Linked DNA regions of Canis lupus familiaris. The protein of the gene in region 3 purifies or fractionates together with the protein of the main gene of each other region. This does not show direct contact. Links are inferred from orthologs where the notes say so. Each region holds a gene or a part of one and is shown on either strand. Other genes may lie near its edges.

What was found.
Region 1: the proteins of EIF3G (region 3) and EIF4G1 purify together in Homo sapiens (affinity purification with mass spectrometry; 3 studies listed by BioGRID, with this or other methods). This does not show direct contact. The link is inferred for Canis lupus familiaris from reciprocal best matches to the Homo sapiens genes EIF3G and EIF4G1.
Region 2: the proteins of EIF3G (region 3) and EIF5 purify together in Homo sapiens (affinity purification with western blotting; 3 studies listed by BioGRID and IntAct, with this or other methods). This does not show direct contact. The link is inferred for Canis lupus familiaris from reciprocal best matches to the Homo sapiens genes EIF3G and EIF5.

Annotation. Positions count from the first base shown.
Region 1 is NC_049255.1:17,367,500-17,376,583, reverse strand, and holds part of EIF4G1 (eukaryotic translation initiation factor 4 gamma 1), read right to left. Parts: coding exon 8,947-9,084; intron 8,722-8,946; coding exon 8,622-8,721; intron 8,212-8,621; exon of another isoform or gene 8,193-8,211; intron 7,500-8,192; coding exon 7,387-7,499; intron 6,569-7,386; coding exon 6,476-6,568; intron 6,269-6,475; coding exon 6,202-6,268; intron 5,928-6,201; coding exon 5,097-5,927; intron 5,027-5,096; exon of another isoform or gene 4,956-5,026; intron 4,801-4,955; coding exon 4,712-4,800; intron 4,604-4,711; coding exon 4,417-4,603; intron 4,325-4,416; coding exon 4,191-4,324; intron 4,069-4,190; coding exon 3,910-4,068; intron 3,746-3,909; coding exon 3,557-3,745; intron 3,371-3,556; coding exon 3,173-3,370; intron 2,956-3,172; coding exon 2,809-2,955; intron 2,584-2,808; coding exon 2,347-2,583; intron 2,144-2,346; coding exon 2,039-2,143; intron 1,928-2,038; coding exon 1,768-1,927; intron 1,720-1,767; exon of another isoform or gene 1,644-1,719; intron 1,570-1,643; coding exon 1,469-1,569; intron 868-1,468; and 5 more.
Region 2 is NC_049229.1:71,502,967-71,512,765, forward strand, and holds the start of EIF5 (eukaryotic translation initiation factor 5), read left to right. Parts: upstream 1-3,743; 5' UTR 3,744-3,892; intron 3,893-4,026; 5' UTR 4,027-4,237; intron 4,238-4,593; exon of another isoform or gene 4,594-4,617; intron 4,618-5,126; 5' UTR 5,127-5,334; coding exon 5,335-5,406; intron 5,407-5,520; coding exon 5,521-5,602; intron 5,603-6,092; coding exon 6,093-6,265; intron 6,266-6,555; coding exon 6,556-6,667; intron 6,668-6,979; exon of another isoform or gene 6,980-7,103; intron 7,104-7,477; coding exon 7,478-7,620; intron 7,621-8,658; coding exon 8,659-8,817; intron 8,818-9,120; coding exon 9,121-9,282; intron 9,283-9,759; coding exon 9,760-9,799.
Region 3 is NC_049241.1:51,334,842-51,344,423, reverse strand, and holds EIF3G (eukaryotic translation initiation factor 3 subunit G), read right to left. Parts: upstream 5,385-9,582; 5' UTR 5,290-5,384; coding exon 5,270-5,289; intron 5,156-5,269; coding exon 5,109-5,155; intron 4,659-5,108; coding exon 4,575-4,658; intron 4,471-4,574; coding exon 4,382-4,470; intron 4,253-4,381; coding exon 4,193-4,252; intron 2,879-4,192; coding exon 2,774-2,878; intron 2,688-2,773; coding exon 2,498-2,687; intron 1,743-2,497; coding exon 1,635-1,742; intron 1,537-1,634; coding exon 1,400-1,536; intron 1,314-1,399; coding exon 1,207-1,313; intron 924-1,206; coding exon 908-923; 3' UTR 793-907; downstream 1-792. Other genes in the region: P2RY11 (P2Y purinoceptor 11), read left to right, coding at 1-502. UniProt on the Homo sapiens protein: RNA-binding component of the eukaryotic translation initiation factor 3 (eIF-3) complex, which is required for several steps in the initiation of protein synthesis.

The DNA.
Region 1 (9,084 bases), on a different chromosome or scaffold from region 3:
GTCCCTCAGGCTGGGAGGGCCGCTCTCTACTTCGCTCCTCCACTTCCTTGCTGAAGCTCCGCTTGGTGGCAGGTGTCCGAGAGCGATCGAGGCGGTCCCCACGGTCACCTCCCCGTTCACTCCGCTCTAGGCGGTCTCCCCGGTCCCCAGCTTTCTCACCTCTTTCCCGACTCAAACTACTCCTGGAGAAAAAACAGGCATGTCACCTCTCACCTGTACTGCCTAGGCACTCTCCTGTAGAACTTTCCAACAAGCTCAGCAATCATCAGGCATAGTTCCTGGAATCTGGAATGTGCCCCCATCTAGCCATGGACTATGAGCATTACAGATGTGAGGATTCCTATGGCAACCACCAAAGCCCAATCCCAGTACTCCCCACGTGAAAAACAAAGACACTCGCAGGGGAAGCCTCACCTCTGTACCACACGTCTGCTGTCTGTGCTTTCTGTAGGTACTGCTTGTTGAAGGGCTGAGAAGCGGTTCAAGGTACTAGTAGCTGGACGAGCAGCTTCTGATGCTGGGGAGGCAGAAAGCCCACATCAAAATCTCTTCCTACTTTCTTCCATTCCATCTCCTACTCGCCAGTTTAGGACACTTGGTCCTACTCCCAACATGAACACAGTTCATTCAGTCCCCCTCGTCCCAAGCATAAGCCTCCTGTTATTACCCAACCACTTTATACAAAAGCCTCTCCTACAAATAAGGCTCTGCCCTCAAATAAGAGGATTCCTAGGCCCCCAGCTCCTTACGATGGCCTCAAGTACCTGCATCAGAGGGCTTGGCTCCTGAGCCTCCACTGCTGCCCTTGCCCCAGCTCAATCGCCCTCCAGGTGCAAAGAGCTGGTTGTTAGAATCAATGGAGCCAGGCTGTGGAAGGAAACGGGAGTGGAGTGGAGCATCAGTCTGATCTGGCCAAAGCCCATAGCTACACAGTAGCAAATGGCATAGACCAGGAGCCAGGCAAACTTTTCCTCTAAAAGGCCAAATAGTAAATACTTAAGGCTTTGCATATCATATAGTTTCTATTTCAACCATTCCACATGGCCACTGTAGCACAAAAACAGTCACTCGCAATACTTAAGGGGAATGAATTTGGTCATGTTTTCTAATAAAATTATGCATGCTGAAATTTACATTTTGAGTAATTTCATTACTCAAATCATCCATTTTATTTTTTTCAACTGTTAAAACTGTAAAAGCCGCTTCTTAGCTGTGGAATGTAGAGAAGGAATGGGACAGATCTGCTGTGCGAGTTTGCTGGCCCAGACAGATGTGAATACATCTTCTTGAGCTGGCAGTCCTGTCTCTAGGAGTCTAACCAGTTAGTCCAAGAGGAAAGCCATCACCTTTTCAACCTCAGAAGTAAGGAGATGAAGATCCAAATCTATGTTCAATGCCAACTGATCCCTCTTTTCCCTCCAATGACCACTACCACTAGGTAGTGACACCCTCCAATACGCCCCCCTACCTTCGTGATCTTGGTGAGTCGTGAGGTGTCGATAGGGCGGCTGCCCTTGCTGATGGGGACTGTGTTCCAGCCACCATCATCCACAAGTGGGAGGCCACGACCTGGGACAAAGAGTATATTACAATAATGAGTAACTCCTAGCCCCCCGATCACCTGGGGCTACCCCCAGACCCCCTTCCTCAGATCCTCAGTTCCATCATGTGGTCTCAGTGGCCCAGACACGTGGCACTAACAAGAAGTCATCAGTGGAAAGTTTAACCCCTCACTCTGCCCCCTCGTAACCGGAGTCCCAAACTCACTAATGGGTGGGCCTGGAGGGCCACCCCGACGCTTGTCACTGCCCTTGGCCATTAGCTGCTGCACTTTTACGTGCTCCCAGTGCTCCTCCATCTCAGCCTCCTTGTGGATCTGGTCAATGGTCTTGGGACCCTGGTCCCCACGGCGTGGCACCCAATTGCTCTGTGGGGACAGAATGCCAGTCACAAGATAATCATATCAGAGGGCCAGACCAAGCAATGTTGGATACGCATACAGGCAGCAGACCAGCAGTGAGAAGGAGAGGACACACACCCGTCGCAGATCCAGCACGTCTTGCAGCATAAAGCGGATTCGGGATGAAGTCTTCTTTTCCTTAATGATTTTTTCCATCTGGTTGAAATACTGATCCATTCGGGGCTAGGAAGAAGCAAAAGGATCAGGTCAGGAGCTTGTGACACCTTACCTTCAACTGTAGGCCCGGCCCCTCTTTAGACCCTCAGGTCCATCACTGTAGCTCGATGACTCACACCCGGCAGCCCAACAAGGAGTCTGTCAGTGGACAGCAAGCCCCAGGCACTTGGCACTTCAGCCTGTCCCATTCCCCAACCCAAGACCCTCACCTTGGCTTTTTCAAAGTCCAGATCTTTGCCAATGGTAGTGAGCAGACGACAAAGGCATTCAAGGGACTCTTCATCATGATTCTTAAGTAGTTTAACCACACAGTCATGCATTATAGCCTCTGTTAACATCTTCAACTTAAACAACTCCCCAATAAACTTGATATTCCCTAAAGAGCGCCGCCGGGCTATGTCTCGAGCCTCTTCCAACTCTTCCTTCAAGCGTCCTCGTTCCTCTGCCTGACAGTTATAGGACAAAAATCCATCAAAAAGGTACCTAGCCACTGGGCTAAAATCCTTCTCTCCACTATCTAGATTCCTAACCCCAGCAGCAAGTATTCCTGTCTTAAGGCAGAGAAAATCCCCAAAACACCATCACCCCCAACTTCCATTTACTTCCCCACCCCCTATTCTATAGCAAAGTAGCATCTGGGTGGACTGTGGGGTTGGTGGGTTTTCTCTCACCGTGGCAGCTTCATCCATCTCTTTTTGCTTCTTCTCAAAAACCTCATCATCATCTTTGTCTTTTTCAAACTCTTTCTGACATCGATTCAACAACAGTTTTCGGAAGTTCACAGTCACCGTTGGCTTTTCTGTAGTGGGCACTTTCAGCTGTATGTCAAAGAGAGTATCACGTTAGTCCTGAGCAGGTAGGCCCTCCAAAAGTCTTTAGCTATCTAACCCAGGAAGATCCTCAGCTCCCACTCTGCCACCGCCTGGCTGCCATTAACAGCGCAGGCTGGAAGAGAACCAAGAAGCTGGACTCAAGGAGTCTTAGGAAGAGAAGTAGGAAACTAGACCACAATGTTTAGTAACAATGGAAACTAACCGCCATGAGGCAGCGGCACATGTTGGCATAGGCCACAGAGAAGTTGGGCTCTGAAATGGCCTTCTCGAAGATGAGGTCAATGACCCCTTTGAGGCGTTCCTCGGTGTCAATGGCCAGCTGCGTCACCTGCTTCATCAGCTGCTGGAACATCTGGGGTGTCAGCTTATTCAGGATGGAGCGCACCCTGCGGAACAGGTCCTGGTAGAGGGAACAGAGAAGACACAATCCAGTGAGGTTCTCAGAAGAGGTCGCTGGGAGGGATGAGAGAATGGTAAGGACTCAGATACTGGTGATAAGGAAGACAGAAATGAAGAGGACAAAATTGGCTCAGAGGACAGACTTTGAAGAGAAGACATGGAGAGCAAAAACAACACTGATCATTACCTGGGTTTTGCTGCCATCAGCATCCTCTTCCCCTCGATCCTTATCAGCGGCTGTCCGCTTGCTGCTGGGCTTCCAGGCTTTCTCTGCTTTGTTCAACTTTATATCTTCAGTCATTAACACTGTGGCAATGATCTTGCGGGGTTCCTTTCGGGGGCCTTGCTGAGAGCGCCGGGGTCCCAGACCAGCCTGCTAAGCAAGGAGTGAGGACGAGTGAAGACACAGAGCTAGTCAGCACAATCTGTGACACCGCCACCACACATCACTAAGGCAAATATCCTCCTTCTCCCCAAAAGACAAAGGAGCCATCCCCCAACTACCCTTGACCATCCGCCCCTCTCACCAGTCCCACTCACCGGCCCTCGGGGCAGCTCCCCACCTGGCCCACCCCTTGGGGGCCCACGGTTGCTAAGGGCTGGTCGGCCAACGTTGGCAAAGGAAGGGATGAAGTCTGGACCACAATTTATGCCTTGAAGTTTCGTGGGATCCAGTGGCCGCAGTGGTGTTTTATTGGCCTGCAAAGAAGACAGGGAAGGCATGAGAAACAGACTAGGGCTCTTGACTACTCTTTCAGGACCTCAGGCTCCTCCCCTAGCCAGCCAGCCCCAAATGACTCCTCCCCCTCAAGCCTACCAACCTTATCCAACACCACATCACTGATATGGGGCAATCCCTCCGGCTTCTGCATACTGGCAAAGATGAACTGAAAGCCAAGCAGGAACTCACGGTCATAACGCTTTTTCTCCTCAAGGTTTAGAGGCTTCCACTGATCTACGAGGAAGACGAGATGAGCGAATCATACCTTTGTCTCCCGGGGCCCTGGCAAGAATACCCAACCCTGCTCAGCCCTTCCTTCAGCATACCTGACTTATACTCATACTTCTGTTCCCCGGGCTGGATGTTCTCAGCATTGTGAATTTTGTCTTCCTTTGAATCCCAGGTCTCGTCTGCTTCCTCAGGCCTCGGCGGTCCACTGCTGCCCTCAGGCTCCGGGCCAGGACTGGTGCCAACAGGAGGCTGATTTTCCACTTCTGGTACTCCTGGGCTCACCTGTAGGTCACACGTAGGACACGTAGGATATTTCATTTTGGTTGCAGTATGACTAGTGTTCATACCCAAACTCTGTCCTCTCCCCTCCATTACTTTCTGCTCCTTTACCTCCTTGAAGGCATCTAGAAGGTCTCCCACAGCCTCCTTCTTATTGAGCTCCTTAATTTTCCGTCTCTTCTTTGGCACAGACACCGCCACTATTTGGGAGGTTAAAAAAAAGAAAAAAAGTGGGAATAATTTATGGAGTACCCCTACTCCCTGGGGAAATAAAAAGCAGCAGCTACTCCACAGTATTTCATCTTTCCATCATACCCACCCCAGACTATTAAAATCCCTTAATCTTGGAATTTTATCTCTTAGGTTCATCAAAGGGTTTCTATGACCCAGACACAGTGCCACACAATTGAGAGATCATCAATGAAAAGAAAGAAAAAACAAAAAACAAAAAACACCTTTCAGCCCAACCCACTTGCACCATCCAGCCACACCTTACCTTGGGTGGTAGCTGCTGCCTCTAAATTCTGAGACAGGTGGGCTGCAACAGGGGTGCTCTCTGGGGGGAGAAGTTCCTCTCCTCCCTTCTGAGCCTCAGCATCTCCAGCTTCTCCTTCTTCCTCCTCTTCTTCCTCTTCCTCCATTTCCTCCTCCTGAGCTGGGGAAGTAGCTGGAGGAGCCATAGCTGGAGTGGCAGAGAGGACGGTGGGGGGAGCCACTGATGCTGTAACCTCCTTGGCCTGCTCCTTTGGCTCACTGACTGGGCTTAAGTCCACAGCTGGTGGCGAGGGGGCTCCGTTGAGCAGTTCCTCAGGTTGGGCAGTTGGAGCAATGGGCGTGGGGGATTCGGAAGGACAAGCTGGGGGAGGGAGAGGAGCAAGCTCTGGGCTCGACTCCACCTCTGGTTCCAGATCCTCAGATGGGACCATGCCATTAGGTTCAGGAAGAATTTCCTCTTTGTGAGATGCAGAGGGAGTGGGAACCTGGAGAGGACTGGAAGAGAACTCAGATTCTGGAATCGGTTTGCTAAGTGTCACTTCTACTTCCAGTATGGGTTCAGCGAGGGGAGTGGGTTCTGGAGAGAGGCAATATGGCTCCCCAGTTTCACGGGGCATGGGGGTGGATTCTTCTACAGACATTTGGATCATCCCCGTTGTCACAGTGTCCCCAGGAATGGAGAGGACTGCGAGATTAGGCTCAGACCCCGGTTCCAAGATTGGGGGTGGTGATGGGGTCGGACAAGGTGATGAAGGCTGGGATTCTGAAGGGCTGTGTTCTGGGCCAGGCAACCCCGGCCGGCTCCCAATGATTGCTCCCTGGGACCGGTCATCTACACCACAGGAAAGACAAATCATTAAAGGCAGGTCACTACTTTTTTCCTCCTCCTGCCAGCCAAGACATTCCCAGCCTAATACCCCTGCAACATTCTCCTACCTAAGGCCTTTCCCCTTCTCACCCCAAATCTGGCCCACTTGCAAAATCCCACTACCTAAAACCCAAGTCATTCTTCTCTGGCACCCAGGTCAAGTTACTCTACCTCCTTAGCATTTGAAATAGTCACACTCCTTTTCCCCATAAAAGCTCTGCCCCACCTGCTTACCTACCTGGCCGGACAACAACAGCAACCTGGGGTGTCTCCCCATTAGCTTGAGGCTCCAGACCACCTCCCGTCTGCAGGACACAAAGGGTTACCAAAGTTTGCCCTGAAGAGGCCCACAACCCTTCTCTATTAGAGCCATTTCTACTTTCACTCTGCCTAAAAATCCACGGAAAACAGGGAAATAAATCCTTTCATTGAAAGAGAAGATCAAAGAACGTGGGAACTCAGGTCAGAACAGCCATCCTAGGCAAGAGCCTCGCTCAAAGATCAGACAATACCTGGGGAGGGGTGGGTGTGGAGGCGGTGCGGGCCCCAGACATGATCTCCTCCGTGATATCCTTCCCTCCTTGGTTTGGATCTCGAATTCGGATCTGGGGAAAGAAAGCTCCGGGATGAGTGGAAAACCAGGAGGAGCCCACCTCTCCACCCTGCCCCACTCCTAAGACTCTAGGCCAACCCCCCACCCCCCACTGGGTAGCAGGTGGGTGGGTGCCAGAAACCCCATGAGTTCTACTGTTAACCCATCTAGCTAATCTTGTACTCCCTACCTTGGCCCCCACCCCTAAGAGACTCTTGACCTCACAGAGCAGTCCTGTACATCACAATGCCCCTCCCTCCCTCAGCCCTGCGCCACCAGCAGTCCCCAAGTCACTGGCTGCACACCATGGGGCCCAGGACCCCCATCTAGCACCCAAGCAGCTCACTTGTGGCTAGTCGGCCTGATCTCTGGGGGCAGGGCCCAGATCCAGTGGGTGGAGCCAGGGTGACTCAGCGGCTTCCCCAGCCCTGGCACCCTATTCTGGGCACCACGCCCAGGGCTTGAGGATTGAGCAGAGGCGGAGGCCTCAAGAGCTTCCAGGACTGGGAGGTGGGGGGTGGGGCCACAGAAAACAAACCATTTCCAAGACAAGCCACCAGAAACCCAAAACCAAGCACAGATCTTATGGACCCCCAGAACCTGGGTCTCTCAGGAACTCCTGCAGCACTAGCCTCCTCAGTCTTCCCATGAGCTACTTCTACACTGAAGTCTTAGTACCTTACAAAGAATCTGAGCGCTTCACAAACCTCCATTCTCTAACCACTCCCAGCTGAAGCTCTCCTTCCTCAACTTTCTGCTCCCTGACCCACAATGCGCTTGACCTTGATTCTCCCTTTCCCAGATGTCCCAGAGCCCCTTGCTGTTACTCACGGTCTTCCGCTCCCTCTTGGGAGCAATCTGGGGTGGCTGGTTCATCAAAACTGAGGCGGGGGCCACACCAGTGGGAAACTGCTGCACACCCTGGGCTGGGTAGTAGGCGCCAGCTTGAGGGGCAGGGGGACAGACACAGAAATGAAGAATGGTGGCAGCGTCAGGGCCCAACCATATACAAATGCCTGCTTGAATACCTCACACCTCCCATCTCAGAACCTCTCATCACCCACAGTCGGCCCCTTGCCCTGCCCCACCCGCCTCCCCAAGGGATTTAGGTGTCTATCAAAGCTGGGGAACCAGTCTGAACTGCGTTTACAAGAATTCCTGACACTGCCATACACACACCTTGTAGGCAGGCACTCCTTCTCCACCACATACCAGCTACCACTAGCAGGACTTCTGTTTCTCTTCTACCCTAGAAGGTATTATGTATGCCCCCCACCCCACCCCCAGCAACACACACACATGTATTCTGAGGGAGCAGTAACTACTTAACCTGAAACAGAATCAGGTCTTTGGCTGGGAATGAGAAAAACAGATTTGCCAACCCTGTTCCACTCAACCTGAGTCCAGTTCCAGTCTCCAGCCCTTTGCTAAGGGGCAAGGAAACAAAGAGTAACATTATGAACCAGGCCCAGGATGTGGAAAAATTAATTCCTTAAAGCAATGGTCTCCAAAATGGGATGTGTTCTTTAATCTCATCCATAATCTCCACTTGTTTTTGACAAGGAACATTAAGTGTGTTGTTTAAATGATGCATATGTATAAACAAACAAAAACATACATGTATTAGAGGTACATACTCAAAATTTTTCCTGATAGATGATCAAAAAATTTTGGAAACCACTGCCATAAAGAACAGACTAATCCTTTCCTAGAATATAAATGAAAAACAGCTACAAAAACTTCCCAAATTCACGTTACATGGGCTCCCACCAACCACGGAACAAGTGTCACTGGGAATGTTTATTAACAGGCCCCTCAAACTTGTATCTGATCCTATATTCTTTGGCATGGCAAGGAATTCCAACTCTCATCAATAGGATAAAATGCTCCCTGCTCCACCCCCCCTACGCACCCAACACCAGTTATATATTAAGCACCAATCTCTACTACCTACTAACCCTATCATTTTTAGATCAAGAAATAAGGCTAGGAAGGATCTAGGAATTTGTAGGTGAGTTTAGGTGCTCCCTGGGACTCACTCTCACCTGACTCCTTCCCCTGCTTACCGTAAGTCCCAAACTCTGTAGGGCTTGCACTCGGATAGAAGCCTGGGGCTCCTGGCTGTACAGGATACTGCTGTGTCGGGACAACATATGTGGAACGCCCCTGGTGGGGAAGGGGGAAGAGGAGGGGAGAGGAGTTGAGGGAGCTATGAGTACCCTATCAGGCCAAAGAGAATGCAGAGCAAGACAGGACAAGCCAACTGTGGGCAATGACCAGAAGAAGTCCCACCTCTGGAGAAGAGATGGGACTGGAGGATCAGGGTAAAGGGAGAGGAGGATTGAGGTTTAAAGGTTCCATGGCTTCCAGCCCCCAAGCCTCCAACCTCACCTGTCCAGGGATGTAGTAGGCCCCTTGGGAGGCTGAGTAGGAGATCTGGGAAGGGATCATCATTACTTGGGATCCAGCAGGGTAGACATGGGCAGCTGGGCCAGGGCGGGCGGGGGCTGCACTCTGCACTCGGGTGGC
Region 2 (9,799 bases), on a different chromosome or scaffold from region 3:
GCGTTAAATTACCAAGGTTTAGGGTTCTAGCTTTCAACATAGCCAACGCCTTTGACTGCTTCTGTACTCACCAGATAACCTTCAGCTCCCTCCCAGCAGCTCTGAATGTCTGCTCTACGCACCTCTGTGACGGGCTATTGCTAGAAGAAAAATGAACATACCCTGTAGCTCATTCTCAAGCCGGGGAGACAAAAACCCTTATGCACAGCTTTAACAGTGTGCTGGAGGTTAGAGATAGCTAAGACAAGGATGTCATAGAGACCAGCTGTCCAACCGGACGACCCATCACAGAGGGCAATGTCCTGGTCCCTCAGTGGCCCACAGCTCAGGAACACAAGGTCCTCAGTCCACACAGGCTTGATCTTGCTCAAGGGGGCAAATTCATGCTACACAGAACAGACACCAATACCTAACAACTGTAAGGCCAGTTTACAAACTTACATTTTCAGCAGCTATACATGCCTATTGTCCAAGGCATGTGCTGAAATGCATAACTCAGGCACTCACCTGACAACAGTTTCAGAGGTACCAAGTACCTATTACTTATCAAACTGTGAGCGCCTGATTGGAAGAAGTGCAGCCAAATGAGGTGGAGGCCAGAAGTAGGAGGCGGAATCGTGTGATGATCCTGGCGTCAAGCTAGAGTTCAAACACTACCCACCATTTTATTAGACAGGTGACTGCGAGAAAATTAACCTTCCTGACTCTTTCCTCACCTGTAAAATGGCAATAACAACAAACACTCCCTTACATGATCGTTAAAGGATTAAAATAGATTATACATGTAAATTGCCCAGACTTATGTATGTTTACATTTACTCGTGAACGCTGGGTCATGTAATGGTTAAGGGAACAGACTCTGGGTCAGACAGATCTCAGTTTAAATTCCAGCTCTGCCACTTACTAGTGTGTGATCTTGGGCAAGTTGCTTAATTTTTTCCATTAAGCCTCAATTTGCTCATTTGTAAAACAGGAAGAAAAATTCTTCCTAGGGGCTAGAAAGTGTATTCTAATCACCTAGTAAATTCCTAGGCTATGAGAAGCATTCAAAAAATAGTACGGTTAAGAGTAATTTTTAAAAATTGTCCCTGATTAGGGGGCGGCCCGGGTGGCTCAGTGGTTTACCGGCACCTTCAGCCCAGGGCCTGATCCTGGAGACTCAGGATCAAGTCCCGCGTTGGGCTCCCTGCATGGAGCCTGCTTCTCCCTCTGCCTGTGTCTCTGCCTCTCTCTCTCTGTGTCTCTCATTAATGAATGGATAAAATCTTAAAAAAAAAAAAAAAAATCTGTCCCTGATTAGATACAAATGAGCAGCACACCTGCTAAAAATTAAAGTTAAAATTAGTACAAACTTTTTAAATTTTTTTTTAATTTATTTGTGATAGTCACAGAGAGAGAGAGAGAATGAGGCAGAGACACAGGCAGAGGGAGAAGCAGGCTCCATGCACCAGGAGCCCGACGTGGGATTCGATCCCGGGTCTCCAGGATCGTGCCCTGGGCCAAAGGCAGGCGCCAAACCGCTGCGCCACCCAGGGATCCCAGTACAAACTTTTTAAATGAAGTTAAACATGGGGCCATCAAACATAATCCCCCCAAATAATAATCACTCACCTTGTATTTAGCTTTATTAAAAATCATTCTGACAAGGCAAGCCCGTTGCCTCAGACTAGTTTCATTTCCATATTTTCTGAGTTTCTAAAATGTCATTTGCATGCAAAAACTTCAAAGTTTCAATACTGCTAAATCATGCTTCATGGTGAACCAGAAGCAGCTTGTCTGGGATCTACCTTTTCTGTGGCTCAGATGGGAACCCTGGTGCCCATAAAACATTATGCATTTCGTCTAACGATCGTACACCATTGTACGATCACACACACACACTGTGTGATAACATAAGCTCCTATAGCAAAGACACAAATCACTTTGCCCAATTCCAAATGGCCCTTTTATTTATTTATTTTCAGATGGCCCTTTTATGAACCTCCCCACCCACACTGTCAGTTTTAAAATGGGGTATAGCTGAGTGAAGTAAGTCAATCGGAGAAGGACAAACATTGTATGTTCTCATTCATTTGGGGAATATAATAGTGAAAGGGAATATAAGGGAAGGGAGAATAAATGTGTGGGAAATATCAGAAAGGGAGACAGAACATAAAGACTCCCAACTCTGGGAAACGAACTAGGGGTGGTGGAAGGGGAGGAGGGCAGGGGTTGGGGGTGACTGGGTGACGGGCACTGAGGGGGGCACTTGACGGGATGAGCATTGGGTGTTATTCTGTATGTTGGCAAATTGAACACCAATAAAAAATAAAATTTAAGAAAAATAAAGTAAAATAAAATGGGGTATAAAGCTTGCAAATCATGGAAGAGCATCCTGAAGTTTTTTTTTTTTATTAAAATTTTATTTATTTATTTATGATAGTCACAGAGAGAGAGAGAGAGAGAGAGACACAGGCAGAGGGAGAAGCAGGCTCCATGCACCGGGAGCCCGATGTGGGATTCGATCCCGGGTCTCCAGGATCGCGCCCTGGGCCAAAGGCAGGCACCAAACTGCTGCGCCACCCAGGGATCCCCAGCATCCTGAAGTTTAATAAAAACCAACGCACCCTTCGGTTCCAACTTTCTTGCATATTTAATTGGTCTCAAAGAGGGCAGCCCCTTACCCACCTCACCCTGTCCTCAACAACATTGCTACTTTCTGCAGCCCGGGCACACTTGGCCCTGAGGGCTAGGGGGCTCCTTAGAGACCGCAGGGAGTGGATTAGAACCCCATCCCCATCCTACGGTTCCTGGTTTTACCACAGCCAGCTATGCTGGATTTCAGGGTGGACTCGGTGCGCTTTCACGGTAGCAACTCAAACTCTTAAAAATGAGTTTCTGAAAGAACGGGAGAGCTTCTGCAATCGCTTCAACAGGATGAAAACATCACTAAATGATCAGGCAATGCGACCTCATTAGGAACACCTGCTTTGGGCTGTGCTTCGCCCACAGCAAGGAAGCCGCGGTGGATCCCCCGAGAGGTGGGTGCGGGGAATTGGAACCCAATGAGATGCTTCGTTTGAGCAAAGTTACTGTGGAGGACGAGGACCCGGGGGCCTCTTCCCAGACGCGCTTTCTGGAGGGTCCTGGGGTCCGCCTCTTTAGAAGGCGGGTGCACGGGAGCGCCCAGCCCCGCCAGGCCTGCAGGCGGGGGGCCGGGGAGAGAGCCAGGCCGGCGGGCCCAGGCCCGCAGCACGACCCCGCCCCCCCCCGAGGTGACATCCGGACCCCGGCCTGGGAGCTTAGGAGGCAGCGCTCAGGATGAAAGACCCGGGCCCGCCCACCACCACCGGCCGCCCAGGCCCAGGCCCAGGCCCAGGGAGCGGGGAGGAAGAACAACTTCCTCCTCGAGCCCCGGCTACCGGCATCCCCCAAGGGGCGGAAAGGGCAGGGAAGACGTCCCCCGCCCCGCCCCCGGGCGAGGCTGCGCGCCCGCCGCGAGAGGAACTCGGCGGGAACGAGACCAGGCCGAGGCGGCGGGGGAGGGGAGCCAACCGCCATCTTCCCCTCCGCACCCAAACCGACAAAGCGCGGCCCCGCGGCCAGCTCCCGCCGCGGCCTGCAGCTCTCGCGAGACCGCGAAGGCCTCTGGGACGGGCGGGGGAGGGGAGGGCAAGGGAAGAGATCCGGGACCCGGGGACTGGGGGCGGGCTGAGGCGGCGAACGGAGCCTTAGGAAGCAGGAGGGGCGGAGAAAGACGCAATTGACGCGGCACGTGGACCAATCACGAGCGAGCTCGGGCGCGCCTCAGGCCAATGAGCGGTGCGGCCTGGCGCGGGGGGCGGGCGCTGGGGCTGAGGGTAGCTTGAGCGCGGCGGCGGCGTTGTTCAGTCAGAGCGAGAACATTCCAGAGGTGAGTCCGGTGGAGGGGCGGCGGCCCCGCGCCCCTTCCCCAGTCCTCCCCGCCCCCTCGACCCCCGCGGGCCGCTGGCTGGCGGGGAAGGCGCCCCGACGCCCGCGGCTCACGGCGCCGTCTCTCCGCGCCAGGTCGCCAGGCCCCGGGCGCTGAAGGGTGTGGACCCCGGACGTCGCTGGGACAGCCCCTCCCCGCTGCTCGGCGGCGCCTGGCCCGGCCGCTGCTCGCTGCGCTGCTCCGCCGCCTCCGCCGCCCCTCCTCGGACTCGGGTTCACACGCGCCTCACTTCATCCCAGTCCCGGGCGAGCAGCGTTGGGTTTATGTCTTTATTTGACGAAAACGGTGAGTCCGCGGGCGGGCCGGCGGGGAGATGGCGGCCGCACAAGATGGCGGCGCGCCGCGTGACCCGCGCGCGCGTGTGGCGCAGTTCGGGCGGGCGGGCCCCGCGCCCCCGCCGCCCAGCCCTCCGCCCCGGCCCGGGCCCGCGCCCCCGCCCCTCCGCCCCGACCCCCTCCCCGCCGGGCCCCTGCCCCTCCCCCGCCCCGCGGGAGCGCGCCGCGCGGGCTGACTCAGGCCCCATTGCTGCATTCATGAGTCATCGCCCGCTCGGGGGCGGGGGCGGCCCGAGCCGGCGCCCCTTGGCGCTTTCGCTTCCCGCGGCGCGCATGGCGGGGTCGCTGCCCCGGGCGGAGCGGCCGGTAGCCATGGGCACCGGAGCGAAGGTTGACTGCGCGCAGAGCGGGGACGGGGCGGAGCGGCGGCGGTCCGTGCACACTCCCGCGAGACCGCGAGTCCCGGATTGGGGCAGGGCTCCTTCAGGGGCGCGCTCGGTGTTGAGCCGGGGGGCGGCAGGGCCGGGGGTCGAGGCTGCGAAGTTTGTCCGAAAACCCAGCCTGGGTCTGCCTTCGTCTCCACGGCGGTTGTTAGAACATGGCCGCTCCGTCGAAGCAACCCTGGGACGGGCGGGTGGTGTGGGCTTCGGGGTAAACCCCGGGCAGGCAGCCGAAGCCGGGCTGCTCGTCGTGGGAAGTCTGGCAGCTCCCAGCTGGAGGCCCTTTAGATTGCGACAGGTGTTCTGTGTTCGAGGAGAATGTTAGCTTCTCACGTGAACTGTGATGCTTCCTAATGTGGCAGAACGAGGCGTCCTTAACTGGGAGGCGGAGGGAGGTTTCCTCCTGCGGGAATCACGTTAAACGTTGGGGGTTGTGTGTGCTTTTCCTTTCTCTTTCAGAGCTGTTGCGCAGCCATTGGTACCTGTATTGGGGAAACATAGCATACAAGCAAGAAGCTTACAGCCTCAGTGGCGAAAATTTTTTCATGTCAGAGACCGAGAACTCTTGCAGTCGTTTATGTCATCCCTTCTTCTCCAGACAGAAGATACCAAAAAGTTGCAATCAAAGATCTCTTCATCTTATTGATAAAGCCACTAATAAGCCAAAATGTCTGTCAATGTCAACCGCAGTGTGTCAGACCAGTTCTATCGCTACAAGATGCCCCGTCTGATTGCCAAGGTAATTAATGCTGATCTTCATTTTAGTAATGAAACCTAAGCTCTCTTCCTAGATTGTTAAAGACTGCATCTCCTCAGGTAGATAATGCAAAATTAAAGCTTTTTTTTTCCTTAGGTTGAGGGCAAAGGAAATGGTATCAAGACAGTTATAGTCAACATGGTTGACGTTGCAAAGGCGCTTAATCGGCCTCCAACGTGTAAGTAATGCTTCTTAAGAGGAGTTTGAAAAAGCATATTATGGATATGATCGTGACAAGCTTCAATCTGTGTATCTTGATTGAGTTGGGTTTTTTTTTTTTTTTTTTTTTTTTTTTTTTTTTTTTTAAGATTTTATTTATTCATGAGAGATACAGATAGGGGCAGAGGGAGAAGCAGGCTCCATACAGGGAGCCCTATGTGGGACTCAATCCCGGGTCTCCCGGGTCACATCCTGGGCCGAAGGCGGCACTAAACCGCTGAGCCATCCCTGCTGCCCTCTTGATTGACTTGTATGATAGTTTGTTTCAGGGTTAAGTGGAATTTTGGGCTTGAAAACCCAACTGATGTGTTAGTTGCTATTAGTAAACAAAACTACCCAAGTAAGACATATTTTTAGCTGTGTAGAAGTAGCAAAAGTGTTATTTGTAGGAGGGTGAGTCAGTCAAAAACTTAATTTTCTCCCCCACCCCTTCCACCACCCCGCCATAGATCCCACCAAATATTTTGGTTGTGAGCTGGGAGCACAGACCCAGTTTGATGTTAAGAATGACCGTTACATTGTCAATGGATCTCATGAGGCGAATAAGCTGCAAGACATGTTGGATGGATTCATTAAAAAATTTGTTCTTTGTCCTGAGTGTGAGAATCCTGAAACAGAGCTGGTGAGTCCTTTTTGAGATTTTTGTCAGAAAGAGGAAAACCTACACCTGCTTTTGTGATCAGTCCTTTGATATTACCAAATTTAGTTTAAGAGATCGCAAATTTAGTTGGAAATTAAAGCAGCAAATTTTTTAGAAATTTTCAATGTTGGCTTTTCTAAGTAGATCATTTTGTTAAAAACAATTTTGTATGTTAGGCTGGAATTACATAGTTAAGTATTTCAACACTTTGTTTTTTGCAAAATTTTATTGTAGGGCAAAGATAACACTTGTCTTTACCCCTTTTTTGGCAGCATGTCAATCCAAAGAAGCAAACAATAGGTAATTCTTGTAAAGCCTGTGGCTATCGAGGCATGCTTGACACACATCATAAACTCTGCACGTTCATTCTCAAAAACCCACCTGGTGAGTCTTTATGATCAACTTGTAAGAACTTAACAGTAAAGCAATTGATTGCTGGAAACAAAGCAGAAGTTTCTTTACTGCTATGAAACTAGAAGATAAGGAATTTCCTATTTTTGTGCCTTGATCTGTTGGATCTGTTACCTTGAAAGATGTACTGTTAAAGATAGAACAGGCTGCCAAATTAAGACTGGTCACTTAGGAAGAAATAGATTTGTGTAAAACAAATTGTGCAATTCCAGCAAAGGATCTCCTGTAATACTCTTGTGAACGAGGGTCCTGACTCATTAAGCCTAACTGGCTTTAGAACATTGCAAGCAACACTCTGTGGCAGATGATGGAAGTTGTCTGACACAATTTGAGCTTGCTATAGCAAGAAAGTCTAACCTATTCCAGTGTTCTCCTCAATGAGACCAACTGTTATATAGACTTAAACAACGTTCCAGCTTTTACTTAAAGTGCATTTGAGATGTACTGTTATTTGGGTATATGAGGGATGAGAGGGTCAGGAGTGCCAACCTTCACTATCTGGTCTACTGAGACATCATCACTTCATTTTAATCCTACTGAACAGTGAATGCCTCTACTATTCTGGGACATTTCATTCTTACCCTGAATTTTTTATATAGGAAATGATAGTGGATAAATTTGGTCTGTAAATCCTACTAGAATTACAAGTAGCGTTGTGTATGTATATGGATTTCAAGGGAAGATTCCAAAGCAGAAGGGAGCAAGGTTTTTAAATGTTTATGAGAAATAGTGAGCTGTGATAAAACTATTAAATTTTTTGTTTCTTTTTTTGTTCTCCTGTAGAGAATAGTGACAGTGGTACAGGGAAGAAAGAAAAGGAAAAGAAAAACCGGAAAGGCAAGGACAAGGAAAATGGTTCTGTGTCCAGCAGTGAGACGCCCCCACCCCCACCACCAAATGAGATCAGTCCTCCTCCACATGCTGCGGTGAGTGCAGGGATGAGGGTGGTGGGCACCAAAGTTGAGTTGAGTGGGGGCAGAAATAAGGAAAGTCATCTTCATTTTTTTAAAGATTTTTATTATTTATTCGTGAGAGACAGGCAAAGGGAGAAGCTGGCTCCCCACAGGAAGCCTAATGTGGGATTTGATCCTGGGACTCTGGGATCACACCCTGAGCTGAAGGCAGACGCTCAACTATGGAGCCACCCAGGTGTCCCTATCATCCATTTTATTATTATTTTTTTTTTATTTATTTACTTATTTTTTTTAAAAGATTTTGTTTATTCATAGAGACACAGGCAGAGGGAGAAGCATGCTCCATGCAGAAAGCCTGACGTGGGACTAGATCCCGGGTCTCCAGGATCACACCCCAGGCTGCAGGCGGCGCTAAACCACTGCGCCACCGGGTCTGCCCCCTATCTTCATTTTAATACTGCAATGATACCAGGGATCCCTGGGTGGCTCAGCAGTTAGCACCTGCCTTTGGCCCAGGGCATGATCTTGGAGTCCCGGGATCCAGTCCCACGTCAAGCTCCCTGCATGGAGCATGCTTCTCCTTCCGCCTCTGGCTCTTCCTCCCTCTCTCTCTCTCTCTCTCTCTCTCTCTCCCTCTCCCTCTCCCTCTCCCTCTCCCTCTCCCTCCCTCTCTCTCTCTCTCTCTCATAAATCTTTTAAAAAATTTGCAATGATACCTTGGGTTCCTGGTTCTGTAGGTAAGTCCAATATTTATGGAAAATAAATCCAGTGCCATTAACGTGACTAGAAATCTGGAATGTTTTTTGGGGTTTTTGTTTTTTTTTTTTTAATTTATTTATTTACGATAGTCACACAGAGAGAGAGAGAGAGGCAGAGACACAGGCAGAGAGAGAAGCAGGCTCCATGCACCGGGAGCCCGACGTGGGATTCGATCCCGGGTCTCTAGGATCGCGCCCTGAGCCAAAGGCAGGCGCCAAACCGCTGCGCCACCCAGGGATCCCGTTTTTTTTGCGTTTTTGAGGCATTTGACAACAATGCTGTTCTTGACAGGAAGAAGAGGAGGATGATGATTGGGGGGAGGATACGACTGAGGAAGCTCAAAGACGAAGAATGGATGAAATCAGTGATCATGCAAAAGTTCTAACACTCAGTGATGATTTGGAAAGGACTGTAGAAGAGCGGGTCAATATTCTGTTTGATTTTGTGAAGGTAAGAACTTCAAGAGCAGCTAAACATTTTTTTGTTAATCACCCTCAAGTCTTGAGGTTTTAAGATATTTATTACTTTATATTTGTGATCTGGCACATAATTTTTCCTCATGATGTCTTTTGAATACTCAAACTTATTTACTGAAATTACTTTTTGCAGTGCTTCCAGGTACTATCTTTGGCATGTGCATATTAACTAAAAAATCCTGAAGCTATAATGGGAAAAGTCTGAAAGCGGGGAGGAATGAGCATCTCTAGAGCAAAATGTGTCTCCATTTTGCTGAATTGCTCCCTTTATTTGCAGAAAAAGAAAGAAGAAGGTATTATTGACTCGTCAGACAAAGAAATTGTTGCTGAAGCAGAAAGACTGGATGTAAAAGCTATGGGTCCTCTTGTTTTGACTGAAGTTCTTTTTAATGAGAAGATTAGAGAACAAATTAAGAAATACAGGCGCCATTTCCTACGAGTAAGTGAATTAATTTGTGAGATTTAGAGTTGAATGACCCTGGGAAGATGTCTGTCATCCTAAAGCGAGAGATAATTGACCTACCTTATCAAGCATAGGACTAAGTAGAAAATGCTGTATAATAGTCTCTTAGAGAGTAATGCATAGATTTTATGCATTGACTTTTTGAACTTGAACCACTGTTTAAGCCCGTAGCCTTAAGGAACAATTTTGAGAGATGAGTATACTTAAAACTTCTTTAAAAGTTTGTTAATATCGGGATCCCTGGGTGGTGCAGCGGTTTGGCGCCTGCCTTTGGCCCAGGGCGCGATCCTGGAGACCCGGGATCGAATCCCACATCAGGCTCCCGGTGCATGGAGCCTGCTTCTCCCTCTGCCTGTGTCTCTGCCTCTCTCTCTCTGACTATCATAAATAAATTAATAAATTTTAAAAAAAATAAAAATAAAAGTTTGTTAATATCAACATGTTTGTTTCCAGTTTTGTCACAACAACAAAAAAGCTCAACGGTACCTTCTTC
Region 3 (9,582 bases):
CTACACCTTGGTGCTGGCGGTCCTGGGCTGCGGCGTGCCGCTGCTGCTCACCCTGACAGCCTACAGTGCCCTCGGATGGGCCGTGCTGCGCAGCCACGGCATGACTGCTGCCGAGAAGCTGCGTGTGGCAGCGCTGGTGGCCAGCAGCCTGGCCCTCTATGCCAGTTCCTATGTGCCCTACTACATCACACAGGTGCTCAACGTGCAAGCTCGGCAGCGATGGAGGGCCCGCTGCCCAGGCTTTGCCAGCTTGAATGAGGCCAAGGCAGCAGTGGATCAAATGACCTATAGGACCCACCAGATAATGCGGGGCCTCATGCCTCTGGCCATCTGCATCCACCCACTGCTTTATATGGCTGTGGCACCCAGCCTGGGGTGCTGCCACCAGAGCTGCTGCAGCTGCAGCAATAGCCAAATGCCAGAGGACACGGGGAACTCTGGCCAAGTCCTGCCCCTCAATGTTACAGCAACCCCCCCAAAACGTGGAGCCCTAGTCCCCTGAGCTAAGCCCATGACCTGGCTTATTTTGAGCCACTTCCTCACCACAAGGCATTGAGACCAGCAGCAGAATGGGGGCCAAGAGCACAAGAGGCTCCTGGCCCTGAGCCACTAACAAGCCCTGAACTGCCAAAGGCCCCAAACCACCACTTCTTCCCCTACACAAAGACCTGTTCGGGGACCAGCAAGTGCCAGGCCACAGTGGCAGGAACTTCTGCCTACAGCACTGATCCTAAAGAGGGCTGGCCCCTCTAGCCAAAGAGTGGGTGACATCTGTGAATAAACGAGACAACATATGACAACAGGAGCCTTTTTATTGCCAAGAGCCCCCTGCTTTCGGGAGCTACCTCCTAAGGCCATGGGGTCCTGGGGCCGGGGCCAGACAGCAGCAGCAAACATGGCAACTGGCTTAGTTGGTTGATGGCCTAAGAGAGAGAGACAGGTGATGAGGATACCAAGTGTGAGGGCTCCAGAACCCAAAGGGCATTCCAAGACCCTTTGCCACATACAACTGGGGTCTCTGACAATGCAGGAGGGCAGAGCCCACACATGGCCAGATGGGTAGAAGGCCCCCCCTCAAAAAAAAGACCTTAAATAACCTGTACCTCAGAAGAGGCTTGGGGACTATTAAACTAACGTGGGGCCCACAGTCAACCTGAGTGTGGGATGCGAAGAGGTGGGGAGAGGCAGGGGTGTGACAGGTCTTACTTGGCCCACTCAACGTTGAGGATGAGGTGGTCGTATCCAAAGCCAGACACCCCAGCAATGGCTCGTGCGGCATCCTCACGGCGGTGGAAGCTGATGAAGGCAAAACCCTGGAGGAGTGGGGGTAGAGTCAGAGGCCCTTAGGGCACAACTAGGACAGGTGACCCCATCACCCATCCCCACAGCCACCGCCCACCTTGGACTGGCCAGTGGTCTTGTCCTTTGCCAAGTAGATGCGAGAGATGGAGCCAAAGGGTCGGAAGAGTTCCTGTAAGTCAGTCTCACGAGTGTCCTCTGACAGGTTGGTGACACGGATAGTGGCATTGTCGTCGGCTACACAGGCAAGGAGCGACAGCTTGTAGAGGACAGCCCTAACCAGGCCCTGAATGAAGGATGACCATGGGACTAAGAGGTGCCCACCCGCCACTCACCTCTGCGGTTGGGCTGCATGGACTCGCCACGGCGGCTGGCCCCATCCCGCAGGCTCGGTGGCACATACTTCCCCGTCTTGTTCTGGGCAGCCTGCACGGGCTCCAGCTCTGCAGACCAAAGCAGCTGGGTCAGGCCTCACCCTGGCACAGGTGAGGGACAGATCCACCCCAGGGCGCTGGCAGCTCTGGCCCTGACCCAGCCCAGGCACCGTCTATCAAGCCACAGGTATCTGGTTTGTTCCACTGGCCGCCAGGACATGAAGGTCACATCTGGCAAGTCAGAGCAAGATCCCACTGGCAGCCCCAGGGCTGAGAGCTAGAAGAACACAGGAACATGCAGGGGCAGCCCCCGGGCCCCACACTCATGGCAGCTAACAAATGTGCTGCACACCGAATCACAGCTGTAAAACTTGCAGAGTCAACCCACTATCAGCAAATCACACTGAAGGACATGGACACAGGCTGCAGTCACATGTGCGAGTCTGCGCGTGTGCGTGCACACACCCACGCACACAGGCCATGGTCCCCTCTGTGGCAAACAAGGCACACTCCAGTCTGATCACAGAGTCTGCAGCAGAATCACAGCTCCAAGTCTCAAGCACACGCAGCCAGACCCATAAAGGAACGGTTCGCCAGCCCAACACGGAACAACGGTGGTGTTACCAGCAGTCTTGGCACCACCCCGCTGGTCTCGCACACTCACACAGACCACAGCCTGGCAGCGCTGGTGCCAGTGAGAGAGGACAACTTCTGATGCGGACAGCCCCGTTCACAGCAGCGGGTGGAGACCGAGGACACTCCCAGAGGTGCACGCAACCCGCCCCACCCCGTGGTCCGCCAAGCCAAATCCCAGGCCCAGGCACCTCCGGGCAGCTTCTCCTTCTCGCCGGTGGACAGGCCCAGCTGCTCAGCCAGCTCCTTCTGCATGGGCCCCAGCGTGTCCTTGTAGGGGCAGCGGGTAGTCCAGTGGTCGCCCTTGCAGATGCGGCAGGACACGATTTTCTGGCCCTTGAGCTTGTTCATCGGGTCCTCCTCTTCCTGGCAGTTCAGATCCTGGGGGGGGGTGGCAGTCAGAGCAGGGTTGCCACACCCTGGCCACCACCATCACAGCCACCGGCCCAGACCCTTGCCCAACTCACCTCTTTGCTAGTGATGAATGTCATGGACACGTCGTCACTGACTGTGGTGGTGGCCACGTTGGGCCCTGGTGGGTCAAACTCCGAGTTCCCAAACTTCTTCCAGTTCTGGGCTCGGGGCGGGATGGGGGACTTGTAAGGGCAAGTGGGACCCCCACCACCACTCGACCTACAAAAGCCCTCCCTTCAGGGTGTTTCAGCCTTGAACCACATTCTTCTCCCTCCCCCAAGTCTCCCAAAAGTGGTGACAACGACAGTTCCCATTTCCTAGCGTGTACCACTCCTGGCATGTGCTAGCCGCTAGCTTCAGGCCAGCTCCAGGAGGTGGGGACGGCTCTCAGCCCAAGTTCCAGAGGAGAGAACCAAGGCCCAGGGGGAAACAGTCACACAGTTAACCATTCCTGAGGCACCCATGACAGGAGGTGGGCCAGCTCCCATAAGGAAGTGACGCCCAGGGGTCACCCAGACTGTGAGGGGCCTTGAGATAGTTAAAAAACCTAGGCTTAAAAAAAAAAAAAAAAAAAAAAAACCTAGGCTTGGGCAGCCCGGGTGGCTCAGCGGTTTAGCACCGCCTTCAGCCCAGGGCGTGATCCTGGAGACCTGGGATGGAGTCCCACATTGGGCTTCCTGCACGGAGCCTGCTTCTCCCTCTGCCTATATCTCTGCCTCAGTCTCTCTCTGTGTCTTTCATGAATAAATAAAATCTTTAAAAAAAAAAAAAACCTAGGCTTCAGCTTTCTTCCCCACCTTTTTAAGATTTTTATCTATTTATTCATGAGAGAGTGAGACAGAGAGAGAGAGACGCAGAGACACAGGCAGAGGGAGAAGCAGGCTCCGTGCAGGGAGCCCGACGTGGAACTCGATCCCAGGACTCCAGGATCACACCCTGGGTGGAAGGCAGGCGATAAATCGCTGAGCCACCCAGGGATCCCAGCTTCCTCCCCTTTAAAATGGAGACCTCAAATGTTCCCCACCTCCCAGGACGGCTAGGGGTAGCAAATGAGAAAACACTTCCTGCAAAACACTTGCCATTGAGGTCTGGCACAGAGGAAGTCCACCGAAAATTGTGCCAATGCTATTTACAGCTATCACTTCTTCCTAAGCATGTAGCCCAGTTAAACAGGAGCTGCTATGACCGCCTGAGGGGAGGGCTTGGCTCTGTTCCTTCTGGTAAACAAGTAAACAAGCTGAGCGGAGTTAATCTAAACCACCCAACTTCTGCACCCTGGACTTTTCAGGGTCCCAACAGAGCACAAACACCCCTCAACCTTAAACCCCCTTGATCCAACAGAATAGAGACAGAGTTGAACCCCACTTCTAAAAATAAAGGTATCAGATCAAAACGCTGTCAACAAAAAGGATTCCTAATTCCTCCAAGCCAGCCCTGGGAGAGCCTCTAAGACAAGAGGAGAAGCGTCTCACCTTCCTCCTTGCAACAGCCTTGGAGGCCTTCCGCGTCTCAATTCTGAAGGTGCGGACGATCTGTGGAGGGGAGGGGAGAGGCTCCGAATTCCTGTGTTTCAAGGCTCTGGAGCTAATCAACCCAACCTACCCAACACACACACCATCCCCTCCGGGCCAAGGGGCCCCCAACTCCTCCCCCAGCCTCACCTTGAACTTCTTGCCATCCTCATCTATCTTGTACTCTGTCACTGTCTTGATGTTCCCATTGATGACCTCCTTGGGAGGCGGCAGTGGAGCTGGGAGAGAGAAGAGGGGAAGTAACTGAGCCTTGGGTGATGGAGGGGGAGGGGAATGCTGCTGGGGAGAGGGAGCCCCGAGTGGAGCTGAGGGCGTCACTCACCTCCCGGCACTAACTCAGGTTCTGGGCTGGTGTCGCCAGTGGCCAGAGGGATCCCCTTGAGGAGCTCGCTGGTGACACATTTGTCTAGGAAGGGGAGTGTGGGTAGGAGGGGTGAGCTGGAGGGGCGAGGGCTCCCAAGCTAAAATGAAGGGACTTCTGGGATGACGCCCACACCAGGGGCCTAGACGGCAGGGCCAAGGGCTTAGGCCTGGGGACCAAGTGCCCTGGGCTAGCCGTGCCAGGCCGTGGCGCTGGCTGAGTAATCTCGCGCAATGGCAAGGATGAAAGCGAGGGGCAGCCCATAAAGACATCCGGCGCTCGCACCCAAGCAGGAGGCTGGCTGTTACAGCTTCCTCCCCGGAGCAGCTGTGAGGCTTGGGCGGTGGCAAGGGAGCGGGGGGACCGGCCAGCCGGACACTTGGAAGTGGCGACAGGCTGGCGGGAGGCGGGAGGCGCGGGGGGAGATGCGGCACCGGACGGCGGTGCCCGGCTCGGCGCAGGCGCCCGTGACCCGGGGCGACCCGGCGTACTCACCGTCCTCGCCCTCCTCCTCCACCTGGTCGGCCCAGCTGGGCTTCGAACTGCAAGGGCAAGGTGGCGGAGGGGAAGGCTGGGTCAGCGAGGCCAGGCCCCGAGGAGCGCCCCCACGGCCCCCAAGCCGCCTCCCAGGCTTCGCTCCGCGACCCTCGACTCACTCAAAATCTCCGGTCGGCATTTCAAAACCTCCTCCACGCAGCACAAGTCCCGGGCCAGAGACCGGAAGTGGGGGGAGGACGAGACTTCCTGCGCCGCGGCCCAGAGCAGCCCGGCAGCAGCGCCCACAGCGCCCCCTGCGGCCGGAGGCGGAGGCGCCGGCCGTGGCACCTCCCTTCGTTCATTCCATTCATTTCACCTTTTATATGTTGGCAAGTTGAACACCGATAAAAAATAAATTTATTTTTAAAAAATCACCAACAGGGATCCCTGGGTGGCGCAGCGGTTTGGCGCCTGCCTTTGACCCGGGGCGTGATCCCGGAGACCCGGGATCGAACCCCACATCGGGTTCCCGGTCGGTGCATGGAGCCTGCTTCTCCCTCGGCCTGTGTCTCGGCCTCTCTCTCTCTCTCTCTGTGACTATCATAAAAAAAAAAAAAAAAAAAAAAAAAAAAAAAATCACCAACAGGGATCCCTGGGTGGCGCAGCGGTTTGGCGCCTGCCTTTGGCCCGGGGCGTGATCCCGGAGACCCGGGATCGAGTCCCACGTCGGGCTCCTGGTGCATGGAGCCTGCTTCTCCCTCTGCCTGTGTGTGTGTGTGTGTGTGTGTGTGTGTGTGTGTGTGTGTGTGTGTGTGACTATCATAAATAAATAAAAAATTTTAAAAAAATCACCAACAAAGGAGAAAAATCAGTTTGAGCTAAGATTTTGCCACACCAGCATTCCATGCCAGTTGGCAATGGAGCAACGTGCACAAAACTGCGAGCGGACTATGACTCAGAAGTATCAAGACCAAGATATCAGTTGAATATAAAGGTGACTTGTGCACATTTTCAAATATGAGAGAATGTATGGAAGGACCCTATTAAAAGAATAAGGACAGTGCTTAATGATGAAGTCTAATTAACTCATAGATGAATAATAATACATAAACCAGAAATAGAAAAATGTGAGTATAGTGAATAGTGCTGAACAATGAATCCATTTATAACTAGAATGAACGCTAAACAATTAGGAGGTCATGAGCACAGAACAGAATGTAAATGTTATGAAAATGGGCAAAGTGAAAAATAATACAAATATCAAAAATAAGATTTGGGAAGGGGACTAGCTAGTCCAGATTCAAGAATTAAGAGGACCTTCTCGGGATCCCTGGGTGGCTCAGCGGTTTGGCGCCTGCCTTCGGCCCAGGGCGTGATCCTGGGGCCCCGGGATGAGTCCCGCATCAGGCTCCCTGCATGGAGCCTGCTTCTCCCTCTGCCTGTGTCTCTGTGTCTCTCATGAATAAATAAAATCTTAAAAAAAAAAAAAAAGATGACCTTCTCCTATTCTAATTTTATGCCAGAGAGCAGAAGTAATTCCTCTCTGGAGCCCAAAACCTTAAATGATCTCTACATGTTTTATATACAAAGTAGCAGTCCATGAACAATAGGACTAAATGAATGGAACCCCAGTTAAAAAGAAAAAAGAAAAAGAAAGAAAAGGAACAGACACATAAATGATCCAGTTTTTAGAAAAAAAAATTTAAAGGTACTAATAACACTAAAGCTCACTTCTCGAGAGCTTATTGTAGGCCAGGCACTGTGAGGGGGAAATTATAATTTTCTGAAGAAATTGTATGGTGGCAGGTGGTGAAGAATCCAGGCTGGACTTCCCGGTCTGGGAAGAGTTTTCCTGATTCAAATGATCAAGATGTCAGAGGGCCCCTCTGCCCCTCTTCCTCCTTTCTTTTGCAACATTCTTGGCTCTCTGATATAATCCTTCCCACTCACTTGTTTATTGTCCAGCCGTCCCTGTAGGGTATTATTCTCAGTGGGAGCCTCGTGGCTCCCAAGGGGGCTAAAATGAATTCTTGGGTAGCAAAACACCTTGAATATTATTACAATGGCTGGTGGCTCTCCAAAAGCAACTCTCCTAGACAAAATCTTATGCCTAAGTATTTACTTTCTATCATTAGGGAGAAATTAAATGTAACTGGATTGAAATTAGATGTATTTTTTTAAAGATTTATTTATTTATTTATTTATTTATTTATTTATTTGAGACACAGAGAATGAGAGAGAGAGAGACAGAGATACAGGCAGAGGGAGAAGCAGGCTCCTTGCAGGGAGCCCGACGCGGACTCGATCCCAGATCTCCAGGATCACACCCCAGGCTGCAGGCAGCGCTAAACCGCTAAGCCACTGGGGCTGCCCTGAAATTAAATTTAAAGAGGGGCACCTGGGTGGCTCAGTCGATTGAGCTTCTGCCTTCAGGTCAGGTCATGATTTCAGGGTTCTGGGACTGAACCCCGCGTCGGGCTCCCTGCTCAGCAGAGTCGCCTCTCCCTCTGCCCCTCCCCTGCTCCTTCTCTCTCTCTCTCTCTCTCTCTCATAGATAAATAAAATCTTTAAAAGCTTTTTAAAATTAAAAATAATTCCACTTTTCTCCTTTAGAGGGGCAATAATGTAAAAAGGTTGAGAATCTGAGGATCCCTGGGTGGCTCAGCGGTTTGGCGCCTGCCTTTGGCCCAGGGCAGGCCCAGGGTGTGATCCTGGAGACCCGGCATCAGGGCGTGATCCTGGAGGCCCCGGGATCAGAGTCCCACATCAGCCTCTCCGCAGGGAGCCTGCTTCTCCCTCTGCCTGTGTCTCTGCCTCTCTCTCTCTCTCTCTCTGTGTGACTATCATAAAATAAATTGATATGACTATCATATCATAAATTAAAAACAAAAAACAAAAAAATTTTGATATTATCCAGTGCTGGTGAAGATGTAGAGAAAGAAACACTTGCACATATATTAATGCATGAAATTTTGTGAACTTTTCGGATGGAAATTTGACATACTCTAAAAGTTAAAATGAACATATGAATTTTGTTTTATGGTGGCATAGACATTTATCAGTTTCAGGTGTACAACATAGTGATCCAACAATGCAGTGTTCACCACAAGAAATATCGTCATGGGGCACCTGGGGGGCTCAGTGGTTGAGCGTCTACCTTTGGCTCAGGTCGTGATCCAGGGGCCCTGGGATCGAGTCCCGCATCAGGCTCCCTGAGGGGAGTCTGCTTCTCCCTCTGCCTCTGTCTCTGCCTCTGTCTCTGCCTCTCTCTCTCTCTGTCTCTCATGAATAGATAAATAAAATCTTTATTAAAAAAAAGTGCAGTCACCACCTGCCACCATACAAAGTTATTACAATATCATTGATTATTCCCTATGTTGTAGTTTTCACCACCAAGATGTGGTTATAACTGGAAGTTTGTACCTCTTCATCTGATTCACTCATACCTGTTTTCCTTTGAGCAAGCTAGTAATTCCACCTGTGAGAAAAACTTATAAATGTGAAGATGCAAGAATAAATGTACAGTATTGTTCATGAAAGCAATAGGTTAAATAGATTATGGTACACTAAGCCACAATCTATGTAATTAAGGAAGTAGATCCATTTGTGGTTATGTTTAAAATATATACATATATCTTCAAGATACTAGGAGGAAGCAAGATGTAAAAAGGCATAGGTTATAGGGACCAATTCGTATAAATATTTAATAACACATATATGTAGATATATGCAAACTATTTTCTGAAAAGAAATATCAAACTCGGTGCTCCTGGGTGGCTCAGTCGGTTAAGTGTCTGCCTTTGACTCTGATCATGAACTCACGGTCCTGGGATCGAGCCCAGGGATCCTGCTCAGCAGAGAGTCAGCTTCTCCCTCTCCCTCTACCCCTTCCTCCCACTCATTCTCTCCCTCAAATAAATAAAATCTTTTAAAAAAATAAAATAAAATAAAATAAAATAAAATAAAATAAAAAAAAAAGAAAAGAAATACCAAACTCTCTGAGGGATGCTTCAGGAGGAAGACATTAGGGGAAGAAAGCTTGTTTTGCGACTTTTCTACTATATTTAAAATTTTTTACCATGTGTATGTTATTTTGCTTTAAATATAAGTATACACATATATAGGGCAGCCCGGGTGGCTCAGGGGTTTAACGCTGCCTTCAGCCCAGGGCGTGATCTTGGGGTCCATGGATCGAGTCCCAAGTCGGGCTTCCTGCATGGAGCCTGCTTCTCCCTCTGCCTGTGTCTCTGCCTCTTTCTCTCTGTGTCTCTCATGAATAAATAAATAAAATCTTAAAAAAAAAGAAAGAAATCTGAAAACAGTGCATTCATCCTAAATAAGGGATTGGCTCAAGGATTGGCTCAATGTTGCCCCATCTGTGCAAGCGCCACCCCTGGAGAGAAACTGCACATTCGTGGATGCAGAGAAGGATGTTAACCACTAAAGACAGATGCTTCTGGGTGTCTTGATCTGGCTTCATCTTTACTTCCTT